2 linked regions of the Pelodiscus sinensis genome follow. The protein of the gene in region 1 purifies or fractionates together with the protein of each later gene. This does not show direct contact. Links are inferred from orthologs where the notes say so. Each region holds a gene or a part of one and is shown in the gene's direction. Other genes may lie near its edges.

Region 1 (7,188 bases):
GCTGGTGAGCAACATGTCAGATTCAGTTGCCCTGATGCTCTGGGTCCATCTTGGCTGATGTCATTGTACCAACAGTCTTGGATTGGCAAGTGGGCTGTGCCCACGAAAGCTTATGATATCTATATGTTTTGTTAGTCTTGAAGGTGTTAATAGACTATTTGTTGTTTTTTAAATTTATCCTGTAAAGACTAACTCAGCTACCCCCTGAAGCTTTTGGATTGGCAAGTCAGACATTGGTATTTATGCTGCTTATACCTAAAAATAAAATAATAAAAATCCACCCTCTTGCTCCCCACAAAGGAAGTAATAACATTACAAGTGTATTTATACAAGCGGTCAAAGCCCTGCTACTTTGTTAGAAACTAACAAAATTGTATTGTCAGGTAATGACAAACTTGGCACATCCTTGAGATCATATTAAGCTCTAATAAAACTCTTTGAACAATCCACGATATGGCATTTCTCCAGCTGCCGAATGGCACCTTGGAAATTCAAAGAGCAATCTGAGTAGCAGAAGCTGTTCCCTGAGGATGGAGCCTCACTGAGAAAGATCCCCGAAGGGTTTCATTTTCCTTGAGCATCAGTTTGCAGAGGAAATGATGCATCTATAAAGAACTGTGTAAAGAAAACGAGCCTATCCAGACATGCCCTGTGACTGAGCCCAAGAGATGCTCAACACCCACAACTCCCACTTGAGTTAAGGGAAGTTGTGGATACTCCACACCTCTCTGGATCATGCCCCATTCTATAATGCTCTCTGTCATCTTCTAATGAGTCAGTCTGTTTTAATAATACTGTGGATATGATAGCACCTTCAATGTGAGATTTACACACTATTTTACAAACCCAAGTTTCAAAGTATCCCTGTAAGGAAGATATTATTACTATTTTACCGATTGGTCAACTGAGGCACAGAAAGATTAAGTAACTTGCTTAAAAAAAACCCACATAGAAAATGTTTGGCCCTTCTAGGAATAGAACCCAAGAATTCTGGCTCAGAGCATCCTGCACCAAGCACTAGACTTTCCAAGCTCCTTTTAATGCTGTGGGACATTCAGTTTCTTCTTTCACTACTTTTCTCTGTCATGTAGTGGGATATATGCTCACAAGATTTTGGCTCTATACTGAGAAAGCAGTCATATTTTCATCATAGAATGTGTAGCTACCAAACTACAAAAAGCATCCTGGAGTGGGCTGGATAATTTAGGGGATTGGTGCTAATCTTTACCTTCAGGTTCTGATTTAAATCCAACCCAGGATGCTAGAGAGTGAAAGTCGCTTCTTAATGGTTTTTTTGGTGGCCTACATGAAAAGTGTTTGGTTGTCTTTATCCAGTTCTCAATGATGAAGTGTCCATTAGACAAAACACATCATAATTGTCACTAATTGTCTTTTAGAAGAGAGATCAAGGACTGACAGGTGTCGGAAATAAATTATCCTCTTGCCTCTGGAAGGTTGGTTGGCCCCCCCTACATCTTGAATTTGTTTTACTACTACATTGATGGGACAACCTGGGAGGAGCTGTTACTGGGACTGCCTGTTCTATAGATAAACAGAGCTGTCTGTGATACCAGCACTAAAGTCACATGATGAGTTTAAATATGAAAAAAGATGGAAACAAAAACCATATCAGGGGTGTCAAAACAGTCTGTGTTTTATTTTTATTTCACTGTGGAAGTGAAATTGCTAATAAATGCAAACCAGCTATTTCTGTAATGATAAAATCAGTCTGTCTCACTTTGTCTTTTATGAAGCTCCATAAATCTGGGAAGGTAAGATTTTCCTTTTTGGATCTGGCTCTCTGATAGAATTTTTTGATCAAAGAGCAATAACAAAGGAAGCTGAGACAATCACCCTTCTACAGCTATACAAGTACTATACCCCTAAATTATTCATATGCAATCTTCTATGTGGGGCACCTACATGTTTTCGCAGATAGAACTAATAACCCTGTATCCTAATTTAAAAAAACAAATCCATGTACATAAAATGCATGTCACTAATCAGCACGTCTGCATATTTTAGGTACTTCAAAAACAGTTTAGCTACTTTATGCAGAAAAGTTTATACTGTTCAGTTATGAGAAAGGTATTTTGTACTTTCAGTTTCCCCATCTGTAAAATGGGGCTAATAATTCTTAAAGGAACACTAACTCAGAAATCACCTATAGCTGGGATCCTACATACTTATGTATGTACTTAATATCAAGCATTTAGATAAGTGTACACTATTGTGACTTAGATTAACCTTCTCCAAAAAACACTCCCCCCCCAAAATACTTCACCATATTTTTCTGTTTTTTCCACTTTGTGCATTTGACAGTACTTTATACAGGTGTCTTTTACCATTTTCCCGAAAGACTCCCAGCTATAGTGTGACATGTGTGAGTGGACCTCTACATATGTCTTGCAGAATCTGGGTTTTAGGGCTTGATTCTGTTCCTCCTGAAGTCAATGGGCAAAACTCCCCTATTGCAGGACTTGTAGTGGGGGGCGAGGGGCGAAGGGTGAGCCAGATCTTGCCTTGCTGGAAACATCTCTGTAAACATTAACACAGGAGCAGGCAAATCCCTTATAAAAATGTAAAGGGATGTTTAGAAGGTTAAGATATACTATTTAAAAGTTGATGTATCAGGAAATGGACTATTTTAAAAGTATTTTTTTAAATGACTTGATAGTGTCCCACTACGGAGTAATGAAGTTTAATTAGTTAATGTTCGTAAAATAACTTCAGATCCTAAAACATTATTTTTGTATTCGCCAGATACAGAGCAATCTTGTAAAACAGTTCATTTCAACTGCAGTAAGGTAAACAATGAATGATTATTTGGGGAAAATCAGGAAAAACTACCACAACAGTGGAAATTAAGTACACAACAACAGAAAGAAGACAACAATCCTACATACTTTGAAGGGAAATCTAGCCTCCTAAAATAATTGTTGCCTCAGGGCAATTACACCGCAAAGTGTCTCTTAGGTAAATCCTGTGATCTTCCAACAGTTCTTACCCAGGCAAAATGTCCTTGGTATCGGATTTTTGGCCGAGTAAACACTAAAGGGGTTTGGTTCCTGGGTGGATTACACTGCATTGCAGTTTGTGAATTTTAATACAACGCAGAAAGGAAAAAAGCATCGCGGGTGAGACAGCATTTCACATCCCCACCATCCGCCCACTCCACGTGCCCACAAATAAATAATTAACAGGGGCCACCGTTTTAACTCCTCCTCCATCCAGGGGAAAGCACGCGAGTTTGCCGTGGAGTGTGAAGTTGACTGCGACGCGAAAGGCACTGAGCCTTTCTTGCCTTCCCTCCCCGCATCCCAAGACGTCTGCATTGCAGTGCAAACTGAATCACGCACCGGCATGGAGCGCTGCCTTCCGCTCCAGCCAACACAGACCACGCGAGCACGCCCCGCATTGTTAGTTATTTTGATCGGGGTGGCGCCCACTCGGTGGTGCTTACCACGGTGCACAACGGGGCTGAGCATCCTCCTCTACCTTCTGCCCCTTTGCAGCAGTAGAGCCTGCAGGGCAGGACAAAATGGATGGTGCCTCTGACTCTCCCTCCCTCCCGCCTCCGCTCCTACCTACACAGAGCAAATCCGGTGTGATTGCAGTGGGTGATGCTTCATACCCATGCAAAAGGGCTGGCACATGAGCACCGGCCTCCTGCCCCCTGCCCCTCCCTTGCCAAAGGAAAGGAGCCCTCCCCACGCTCCAGCCCTGGACTCTGCAGAGGGGCTCAGAGGCTGTGATAGGACACCTGAGAAGGACACTCTTGGTTCCTTCCAGGTAGAAGAGTGAAAACCACCTTCTCCCCACAGAGAGGCGATGGCTTCTCCCATCTCTCTATTGCCCCAGATGGTATTTTCCTTCCCTCCACCCCCAGCCACCCAATGGAGGGGTGGGTTATCCCCTCCCTTGATACCCCCCTCTACAGGTTTGGTTTCTCTCCTCCCTCGAATCCACACCAAGAAATAAGGTGCTCCCCTCCCATAAATGGTTCTGCCCTCTAGCCCCCAGAGATAAGGTGTGGTCTCCTCTCCTTTTGCCCCCCCCTCCCCACTCCAAATGGTTTGTTCCCCTCCGCCAGAGGGATAAGATGGTTTCTCCCATTCCTCATCTCCCGAATCCCTCCCTTAGAGTTGGTTTCTCCCTGGGCCCCCCTCCCCCGCCTGGTAACCGGTGCGGGAGAGAATGAGCCCAGGCATCAGCCGCCATCTTGATCCTAGCTGCCGCTGGCAGAGCGCTGCGCTCTGAGGAGGGGAGCGGAGCCTTCGCAGCGCCCCTAACCCTCCGCCCCGCAGCGCGGGACGCAACCAGGCCCGCTGGGGGGCCCCCTCCTCTGTCTCTTAGGGGTCCATCCCCCCTGCCACTCTGAGCGGGCAGAGCGCGCGCGATGCTGCGCCCCGGGATGCTCTGCCCCCGCCTAGCCCCCGCCTGGCTCCTGACCGCTGGGCTGCTCTGCGGGGGGCTCTGGGCTGCTAGAGGTGAGTGAGCCTTGGAGCCGTGCGGCGGGGGGGGGGGGGGGGAGCTTGCTGCAGTGACCTCCTCCCTGGAGACTGCGTGCCCTCTGCGGGGGCTTGTCCCCCCAATTCCCCGGGACACCACCCCCTTCCCCGGGTCACCCTGTCCGCCTTCTGCGGGGGCTTGTCCTCCACCCCTTCCCTGGGACACCCCACCCGCCTTCTGCGGGGGCTAGTCCGCACCCGTTCTTCTTCAGGGATGTCTAGCTCCATCCCCCATCTAACGATGTAACCCTAGGGCACCCCATCTCTCCCTTCTGGGAGGCTTAACCCCGTTCCCCTTCGTGGTGGGGGTGGGGGTTACTCCATTCCCTGTAACATCTCCTACATCCTAGCTATAATCGCTATGGAATTTAACCCTCTGTTCCCTTCTTTGGTGGGGGTCTAAGTGCATTCTCCTTGTGGCACCCAGTTTACCTACCTCTGTTTGGGATTTGAACCCCTGTGTTCCTCTCGCTGATGGAGGAACCTGGTTTCCCCATGTAATATCTCCTTTATCCCTCTCCTGGTGGAATTTAACCTTCACTTATTTCATATGGGAATTAATCCCTTTACATTGAGCAAAATCTCCTCCTATGAGGGGGCTGAGTTGTGGGCGGAGGCAATGTCTTTGGCTTCCTCCATCCTTTGGGCACAGCAGGATGATACCCCTCTCCAGAGTGCTAGGGATAGGAGGGGGTTAGTCCCTCTCCTCAGTGGTGCTGCCTTAGGGGGTGGGGAGTTATCCCCATACATAGTGTGGCAAACATCACAATCATAGATGATGGAAGAAGGAGGAGAGAGTTGTCCCAGTGAAGGAGACTTCCCAACAGCCAGATCTGGGGATGATTTATCATGTGTGTTCGTTGGGGGGTAGCAAAGTTGAAGCCCTACAGACTAGGGAGGGGAATTGCTACCCACACTTCTCTTTAATGCTGAGGTGTGATGATAGGCGGTAGTGGTGGGTTATTCCTGGTAAGGAAGACTTGCCCACCTCAAGTTAGGTTGTTCTCTTCCTCCTCCTGGCAGATGCAGCTTGAGCTAATGCCTGCTTGGGACTCTGTTTCCTGGGTTTCTGGGAGAGGGTGGGAAGGCATTGGCTTTGCTAATGACATCAAGATATATATCAGTGCAGTGTCTACTTTTTTATGAAGGGGGCACCCTGAGATTTTGGTAAGTGATCAAGGGCTGCGTTTTTCAATGGAGGGGATGTGAGGTCTTAGATGGAAGTTGGGTGCAGAAGGGAGCTTGGGGTTATGGATTGGGGTACAGGAGAGGGTGTGGAGTTTGAGAGGAAGTTTGGGTGAAGGAGGAAGTTGTCACCTGGGATAGGGAATTAGGAAGGAGGTGCGGGGTGCAGGAAAGGATTCTGTCTTGGGGGAGCAGTGTGAGAGGAGTGCAGGGTCTGGGAGAGAGTTGTCACCTGGGAGAGAAGGGTGCAGAGGGAAGGGATGGTGACCTGGGGTAGGGAGTTGGAGTGTAGGAGAAGGTGGGGTGTCAGGTGTAGTCTCTGGCCTAGAGGCACTTACTTGGTGGCTCCTGACTAGCTGGACCTTCAGGCAGGCTCTATGCCTGAGAGGGCAGGCTGCAGGTCAGATGAGCCATATTTTGCCTGCCCCATGTGAGTGAGAAGAAGAATGCATGAACCATAATCGTTCTGCCTCTGTTTTGGTTTTGTGGTTTTGTGGTTACCTTGATTAGGGTCTGTAACAAGGAGTGTGTGGATGTTACATAATTGTTCCTCCAAAAACTCTTGGATTTTACATTGTGAATATTTTCTTCTTTTCTTTAAGCTCAGTTTGGTTTTAAATTAATAGAGGTGTAGAGGTCGTAACTTGTATCAAACATAGTCCGAACTCATGAAATGTGGTAAGACTATCCATGCAGCCCTAGACTGGCTGCATATTGTAAACAGTCTCTCAGCTGGTTCTTGAAAGGCAGGGTAGTTGTGTGTGTGCACAGCTTTTAAAACTATGGTGGTATTTCGGTTAGTGGAAGAGCTTTGATCATTAACTGGGAATAGAAATGGGAAATCTAACACCTCAACGAGCCTCTCCCAATGACATGTTTTTTTTAATAGAGAACATTGTCCTGTTCCTAAAGCAAATACAATTTTATTGCATCTTTTGCCATATACCCTTTTCAGTGTTGGATATTGATTGATGTTGCAAACTGAAAAGCATACGCATTGCAGATCTGTTTTTGAACAGATTTCATTATAGTATTGCAGACTGTTCTTTACCAGAATGTGAACCTATATATTAAAAAGGGCAGTTTCTGTAAGATTATTTAATTGATCTGATGGTGGTATTTGTGGACTGCATTTTCTTTTCCTAGCATCCACTAGTTTGTAATAGCATCCGGACTTCATAAGCAATTGAAAGGCTTCTGTCTATGAAGCGCACAAGCTCTTTTTAGGTACTCTGACAAGTTATTACTAATCTAAAGACCAAAATGTAACAATATTTTATCTAATATTTATTAAATCATCTTGTAATTTCATTTTAATACTGTGTATCTGTGGAACATGAATACTTGGTTACCTTGCTGAGATATCAATATTAGAATGAAGATTCGAATACACTCTTGCCTTTGTTCTTTTTCTTAGAAAAGATGGCAGCAGAAACTTAATTTTCTACTTGCCTGTTTTTATGTTTTTATGTAATTCTGAGACTTCTGTAGA
Region 2 (8,027 bases), on another chromosome or scaffold:
GTTTACCTAGTGCAGGGCAAGAGCAGGGGTCAGTCCTCCACACTCACAGTAGTGGTGAGAGCCGGAGCGATATCTGCTCTGCCGCTGCCCAGCCCCCTAGTAATCTAGCTCATATTGTACAGAGAGGTGTTTTGGGTGGGGGTGCAGCAGGGGTGGGAAGAAGCAGGGCAGGGGCAAGACTTGGGGGAAGGGGTGGAGTGGGGTGGCGATGGAGTGTAGGAGGGACCTGAGGTAGGATGGTTGCCCTGGGCCTTGCAACACCCTAGGGATGGCCCTGCCTGTAGTCATGCATCACTTTAAACCACATGCCTAACAGAACTGGACACATAATGACTACATTGCATAACATCTACCTGATGGGAATGCAAGTCAACTAAATTAAAATGCCTTTTCACTCTCAGTGTCATGAGATATTTATGACTGCCCTGAGATCAGATCCAAGGAGTAGCCAGCAATCTGCAGTTTGTACATACACTAGCTTACCTTCTGTCACAATTGCCTCCTAGCTGTTCCTTTATATTCAAAATAATCAATAACACGGTGGGTGCCCTTAGAAGTATCTAACAATTTCTAATAAAAGGCCTGGTCAACCACAACAATGTTGCTCCCAGGGCACTATATGACACAATGAGCTTTCAAATATTAAATGTATCATCTTATAACTCCTATATTTTGTATGTGGCTTTATATCCTTCCCTACATCTCTTCCACCTTGTGCTAATACTGTCAGTCTATGACCTTACCACAGATTATGCTCCGTTATGTCCATGTTTTCAGCTCTAATGCTCAATCTTTTTTATTCTCTTTTTGGTAGGACCAATCTTATGTTTTGTAGCACCCCAATCAAGAGCAGGTATTTAGAGTGATCACCTATTTTGCACTTTTAATATAGACTCATAGACTTTAAGATCAGAAGGGACCATTATGATCATCTAGTCTGACCCCCTGCACATAGCAGGCCTCAGAATCTCACCCACTCCCGCCTGGAATAATCCTCTCACCTAAATCTCAGATATTGAAGCCTTCAAATAGTTTAAAGACCCCAAGATGCAGAAAATCCTCTAGCTGTGATCTGTGGCCCATGCTACAGAGGAAGGCGAAAAACCTCCAGGGCCTCTGCCAATCTACCCTGGAGGAAAATTCCTTCCCGACCCCAAATATGGCGATCAGCTAAACCCTGAGCATGTGGGCAAGACTCACTAGCCAGACACCCAGGAAAAGTTGTCTATAGTAACTCCTATCATCCCTCAATTGATTATTTACCACTGATAATGAAAGGTCAATTAGTTACCAAGATCATATTACCTCATCAAACCATCCTCTTCATAAACCCATCTAACTTTATCTTGAAGCCAGATAGATCTTTTGCCCCCACTACATCCCTTGAAAGGCTGTTCCAGAACTTCACTCCTCTCATAGTTAGAAACCTTCATCTAATCTCAAGTCTAAACTTCCTACTAGCCAGTTTATGTCCATTTGTTCTTGTGTCCACATTGGTATTAAGCTTAAATAATTCCTCTCCCTCCCTGGTATTTATCCCTCTAATATATGTAAAGAGAGCAATCATGTCCCCACTCAGCCTTCTTTTGGTTAAGGTAAACAAGCCAAGCTCCTTGAGTCTCCTTTCATAAGACAGTTTTTCCATTCCTCAGATCATCCTAGTGGCCCTTCTTTGTACCTGTTCCAGTTTGAATTCATCCTTCTTAAACATGGGAGACCAGAACTGCACACAGTATTCCAAATGGGGTCTCACCAATGCCTTGTATAATGGCACTAACACCTCCTTATCCCTACTGGAAATACCTCGCCTAATGCATTCCAAGACCGTATTAGCCTTTTTCACAGCCATGTCACAATGGCGGCTCATAGTCATCCTATAATCAACGAGGACTCCGACGTCCTTCTCCTCCTCCGTTACTTCCAACTGATGGAACTAAAATTCTTGTTATTAATCCCTAAATGCATAACCTTAACCTTCTCACTATTAAATTTCATCCTATTGCTATCACGCCAATTTACAAGGTCATCCAGATCTTCCTGTATGATATCCCGATCCTTTTCTGAATTGGCAATACCTCCCAACTTTGTGTCATCTGCAAATTTTATCAGGACACTTCCACTTTTGGTGCCAAGGTCAGCAATAAAAAGATTAAATAAAATTGGCCCCAAAACTGATCCCTGAGGAACTCCGCTAGTAACCTTCCTCCAACCTGACAGTTCACATTTCAGTGTGACCCGCTGTATTCTCCCCTTTAACCAGTTGCTTATCCACCTCTCAATTTTCATATTGATCCGCTTCTTTTCCAATTTACCCAATAAGTCCCCATGTGGTACTGTATCAAATGCCTTACTAAAATCAAGGTAGATTAGATCCACTGCATTTCCTTTATCTAAAAAATCCTTTATCTAAAATATCCCTAGCCAGCACTGAATATGGTGATACTAAGAATTAGTTGATGTGAGAAATATGCAAAAAACATACACTGTAATGCAAATGACTCCTAAACTGTGAATAAAGCATTGTGAGGCATGTTGTCTCTTAAAAATAAGCCTTGTTTAGTATATTTCCTTTAAAACATAGGTTGCCCAATTTAGTGGTGCTGCCAGCTACTGCTAATGAAGGAAATGTCAGTTCCCTTCTTGCCCTCCCTTTTCCACTGCTAGAGAAAGGGGCAGTCTATTGGTGGCCCTGGACTATAGTATTCAAACTATGAATTACTGATTGCGTAATACATGTGTTACAAAGGAGGATCCCCAGATGGTGTCTTGTGGAGTTTTTAAGTTCAACATGGCTTTCTAATACAGAGATGTAGACTTTTTAATAGACTCTAGGGATCACTGGATAGGAGTTGAGGGGGATTAATGATTGAACTTCTAATTGAAATGCATAGATCAGTGGTGGGGAAGAGTAGGCAACATTAAAACCTGCCACTTTGAGTGTTGGGTGCTCAGGGTGCCATAGGCACAGATATTACAGCTGTGAAAGTGATGTTGAACAGAGGGAAAAAATCAATTCTGTGCCTTGAATGAACTGAATTTGGCAGCTGGTGGTGGGAGGGAGAAATAGGTGCAGAAAGGCACTTAACATGCTATCTGGACCTAAGTAGGAGCTAGTCTGTTCCCTCACAGAAGCTTGAGAACTCCATAGGTTGCTCTAACTTACTTTGCTGCAACAGCTCATTGGGAGGCAGGGGCGGTTATAGGGCAGGGCGAGTGGGGTGGCCGCCCCGGGCCCCGCGCTTCAAGGAGCCCCGTGTATGTGCCGTGGCAAAGGGGGGCCCCCGCAAAATTGTGCTGCCCTGGGCCCCGCAAAATGGTCATCTGCCCCTGTTGGGAGGAGTTGTAGCAACTGTGAATAGTTGTAGGGTACAGGCACTCTGGTACTATGAGCGTGTCATGCTCCTTATTTGGGCTGTGTAGTTTAGATCTGTTCTTCTGTAACTGTTCATCCTAGCAGGTTACTTTACATGAGGTAATTCTTAAGTAGTTGTATAGGGGTTGCCAATTTTTGAAAAGTGGATACTTCTTCTCCACCCCTTCTTCTGAGGATCTGCCCTCTATTCACTCCTCTCTCCCACCCTGCCCTGTGCCCAGTCTGGGGCCCATTGAACTCTCCCCATCCTCCTGAGGGTTACCTGAGAGGGTGGGGAAGCACGATCCATAAGCCACTCACTCAAGTCTCACAAGTCTGTGGAGGAGCTGGGGGGAACAGAACCCAAGAGTCCAGGATTCCAGCCCCACTTTGCTCTAACCTCTCTTCCCCTCCCAGAGCCAGGGAGAGAACCCAGGAGTCCTGACCCCCAGCTCCTCCATTCTCCACCACCATGGCAAGGCACAGTCTTGAATATGCCCAGGTACTCCCTGGTCATCTGGGCCCTTGAACTGAGAGCAGGGAACTATTCACTTTCACATGGGGAACTTGGCCCATTATTTGTAGCCCCCCTCAAGCTGTGACCTGTTCACCCTGGCTGGATCCAGAAAACTTACATGGAAATATTGCTTCTGGGCTCTCCCTACTTCTTCTGAGGGGTTTCACTATCCTCTGCTCCAGGTTCCTCTGTGTCTGATGGTGAGGAAATATTGGGCTCTTGGACTACCTCAGCTACAGCTGGGGCAGGCTGGCTACAATGTACCAGAGCCTGCCAACTTCTGCCACTCAGAGCAAGCAGGCACCTGAATTCCTAGGGACCAGTCCAGCTCCTAGCTGGGCAATGATCACACTGTGCATGGGTCCAGAATTGGCAGCCGGCCTTCAGGGCAAGTGGCTCTGTGCTGAATCCAGGCCTCTCTGCTGCATCAGAAGTCAAGCAAAGCAGAGCCAAGGGCTGCACTCCAAATGGCTCCTGCCTCGATATCTTCTTAGTAGCTGAAGTGAAGCTCTTTGTTCCCTAGAGGTAGCGGGGGTGCATCCTTCCTTCCAATGGCCTCTCAGTCATGCTTAGAGCTTGACCTCCCCCTTGCCTGCTCTGCTTGTAGCACCACTGCAGCTGCTGCTGAGGCTCTCCCTGGCTGCTGAGCAGCTGCTGGTCTTACCACTCTCTTGATGGGGAGGCTGACTGTGGTTAGTTGTTTTCAGACTTTCAATGTTCAGAGAGCAGTGCTGATCAGACACTGTTCAGGTTCTCTTTTTGATTGGACTTTCCGGTCAAAAACCAGACATAGGGCCATCCTATAGTTGTACTATAAAGCACTAGAGCAGAACCTAGAAGTGGTCCCAAAGAACCAGACATGGACTAAGAATAGTGCTTTACTCTCAAGCTTAGAATAGTCCCTGCTTTGCCAATTGGCGATCTTCTGATTTTTTTAAAATATAAAATGCATGGTATGTCTGATTTGTTTTGAAGCCGGACAAAGAAAACTTATTGGCAGATGAAGTGAAGCTCTCAGACTTTACCACTTGTAGGCAGGTGTGACCTGGGGGGGGGGGGGGGGAGTGTGGGATTAGAGCTCATCCAAAATGTCTTGAATAATGTATCAAAATTCTTGGTATTTTAAAGCAAATTATCCAGTTGATTCTTCCACCCATTTTCGAGTTCTTTGTCTACCATACAAAGCAAATATCTCTTCAGCATATCCACATGCCACGGATTGTACCTGTAGCATCTCAAGTTAAATATTTGGAAGGGTCTTTTGTTTTGCCCAGCTACAGATGGGGTATCTTTGTAGCAGAGGCGACTCTGTACCACCCCCCAGGACCAAACACCCCCCCACTTTATCGCGAAGGGGACGGAAGGGCAACACACGGAATTTCGACCCAGCTCTCCTCCCCAGTTAGGCAGAGAAAACCCGGGCAAGGTTCTTAGGAAAGTCCTGTCTGCCTCGTTCTTTATCCGCTGCCGGGACTAGGGGGAGGGCGATCGTGTTAATGAGCGGGGCTGGGTGCGGGGGCCGCGTCGCTCGTGCTGAAGCCCAGCCCCAAGGCGGGGGGTCTCGGACGCCTGCACGGTTTGGTTCTGCGCCATGCAGCGTGCGGGGCAGTGCGGGAGGGGGCGGTGTCTGCTGCTACTCAGCTTGCCGGGCTCATTAGCAGTCTCCGTGTGTGGCTCGGCTCCGGAGCAGTCACACAAAAGAGCCGGTGCGGCCGCTCCCCTTGGGGCTGCGAGGAGCAGGAGCGGAGGCGGCGCAGTCCCGGTCCAGGTCAGTGGATGTGGGGGGGGGGGGGGTAACACGCTGGCGCTTTGCTCCCAGAGAGGGGGCAGGAGAGGAAGGGGGGGGCTGCTGCAGACCCCTCCCCGCCGGGAGCTCCCTCCGGAGCGGGCTGGATGCTGCAGGGCTGGCAGGGAACGCGGTGCACGAGCCCCGGGGTGCTGTGCGGTGTGTGCGGAGGGAGGAGGTCGGATGCCGCATGCAAGGGCCGCTCTCCCGACCCAGCGCCTTGCAGTGTCGTGTGGGGGGAGGGGATCCGATGCTGCATGCGCGTCCCCCGCTCCTCCTACCCCGAGCTCCTTGCGTGCCAGGGCTGGTCCCCTTCCCCCGCACGAACACCGCAGGTCCCGCTCCCTGAGCCTGGGCTCTTTGCGGTGGGTGTGGGGAGCAGAGACTGCACGCACATCTCATGCCCCTACCCTAGCTCCTTGCAGTGCGTTGGGCGGGGGCAGAGGAGGAGCAGATGCTGTATGCAAATGTGACTCCCCGGCCCCGAGCTCCTTGTCCTGGTGGGATGCTGGTCACAGGATATTGCATGCGGCTTCTCCCCCCAACCAACTGACCAACCGGATTGTAGCTCCAGCTAGTGGGGGGAAATTAAGCTCATTGAAAGGGGGTCCGTGGGGGTGGAGAGGAACCTTTGGGTTCCTTGTGGAGTGAGGATTTTGCTGCCATCAAATCTCATCCCCATCCTCTTGCGGGGGAGGAAATCAACGTTGCCATCACAGCACAGAAAAGCCAGTTTGGAAAGAGACTCCAGCAAGAAGAGTGCAGTGTTACTAATATGGGAGAGTTTATTGTTTAATGTGTAGCAGCTGATGAGAGGGTCGATCTGCTCTTGCGGTCTAGGGAGGCGGCCGATGGTATTTATGTGGCTGGGTCTGGTGCAGGGATGGAGAAGATGTTCTCTGCCTGGTACAGAAGAGCTTTTCTTTCTTTCTATTGTGGTAACCGTGGTGGTGGGGAAGCTTTAATGCAGCTGCCTCGTTTCAGTTAGATGAGCACTGGAAATGGAAAGTGTTTCTAACCGGAAAGTTGCTGCTGCTAGGATCATCCTTTTCTCTGATTGCAGTCTTTGCTGTATTCATTTTTTTAAATTGTGTGCTTCCATCCCTCTCCTAGTAATTTATATGTACATTATTTTAGAATGTAACTTTCACAGTTTTGGCATTACTTCATCTAGAATGGGGTTATTTGTACATATAATATTGATATAGTGTGTGTATATTTAATTGTTTATACCTAGCTTTTGAAGTGTGTGTCTGTATATCTGTCTTTATTCACACATTGCTCATCTACAGTGCTGGAGAATTCAGAGTTCATTTTAAGAGTCCAAAACACAAAAGAAAAGCCCTCATGTAATGCACTGCTGCTTAGAATTTGTATTTGTTTCTGACTTATCAAGCCTCCAGTGTAGGGACTAAATTAGAGCTTTTGATCAACTTTTTCCCCCCCCCCCCCCCTTCTCCTTTATAATGAGGTCTGGAGGGAAAAGTTACTTAATTATAAATTCTCCACTTCATTTTTCTTGGAGTAAACAGTGTGACAAATTATAACATGGATTCCCCCCCCCCCACACACACACATTTTCTGCTATCTTCACAATGACTAGATGATGGAGTTTTTTGTATTTCTGACATGAAAGAAGGGGTTCTGCATGTGTAAAACTGAATGCTCAATAGGGAAGAATTGGTATGCTTTGCCTTAACTGGCAAGTACTTCTTGATTTATTAAGTTACTTTGCTCAATGCCCTTCTGTTTGTGGTTGTATATGATAGTGCTTGGGGTGTGTTATAGACCACCAGGATCCAATTTGGATATGGATAGAGACCTCTTTAATGTTTTTAATGAAGTAAATACTCATGGCAACTGCATAATCATGGGAGAGTTCAACTTTCCAGATATAGACTGGAGAACAAGTGCTAGTAATAATAATAGGGCTCAGATTTTCCTAGATGTGATAGCTGATGAATTCCTTCATCAAGTAGTTGCTGAACCAACAAGGAGGGATGCTATTTTAGATTTGGTTTTGGTGAGTAGCGAGGACCTCATAGATGAAATGGTAATAGGGGACAACCGAGGCTCGAGTGATCATGAGCTAATTTAGTTCAAATTAAATGGAAGGATAAACAAAAATAAATCTGAGACTAGGGTTTTTTATTTCAAAAGGGATAACTTTAATTAAGGAAATTAGTTAGGGAAGTTGATTGGACTAAAGAAATTATGGATCTTGAGGTGGAGGAGACCTGGGATTATTTTAAGTTAAAGTTGCAGAAGCTGTCAGAAGCCTGTATCCCAAGAAAAGAGAAAACATTTATAGGCAGGTGTGTTAGACCAAGCTGGATGAGCAAGCATCTCAGAGAGGAGATTAAGAAAAAGCA

What was found. The genes of interacting proteins can lie anywhere in the genome.
Region 2: the proteins of CLSTN1 (region 1) and APBA2 purify together in Homo sapiens (affinity purification with western blotting; 3 studies listed by BioGRID and IntAct, with this or other methods). This does not show direct contact. The link is inferred for Pelodiscus sinensis from reciprocal best matches to the Homo sapiens genes CLSTN1 and APBA2.

Annotation. Positions count from the first base shown.
Region 1 is NC_134733.1:12,835,885-12,843,072, forward strand, and holds the start of CLSTN1 (calsyntenin-1), read left to right. Parts: upstream 1-4,143; 5' UTR 4,144-4,399; coding exon 4,400-4,490; intron 4,491-7,188. UniProt on the Homo sapiens protein: Postsynaptic adhesion molecule that binds to presynaptic neurexins to mediate both excitatory and inhibitory synapse formation.
Region 2 is NC_134724.1:44,052,249-44,060,275, forward strand, and holds the start of APBA2 (amyloid-beta A4 precursor protein-binding family A member 2), read left to right. Parts: upstream 1-5,023; 5' UTR 5,024-5,637; intron 5,638-6,280; exon of another isoform or gene 6,281-6,561; intron 6,562-8,027. UniProt on the Homo sapiens protein: Putative function in synaptic vesicle exocytosis by binding to STXBP1, an essential component of the synaptic vesicle exocytotic machinery. May modulate processing of the amyloid-beta precursor protein (APP) and hence formation of APP-beta.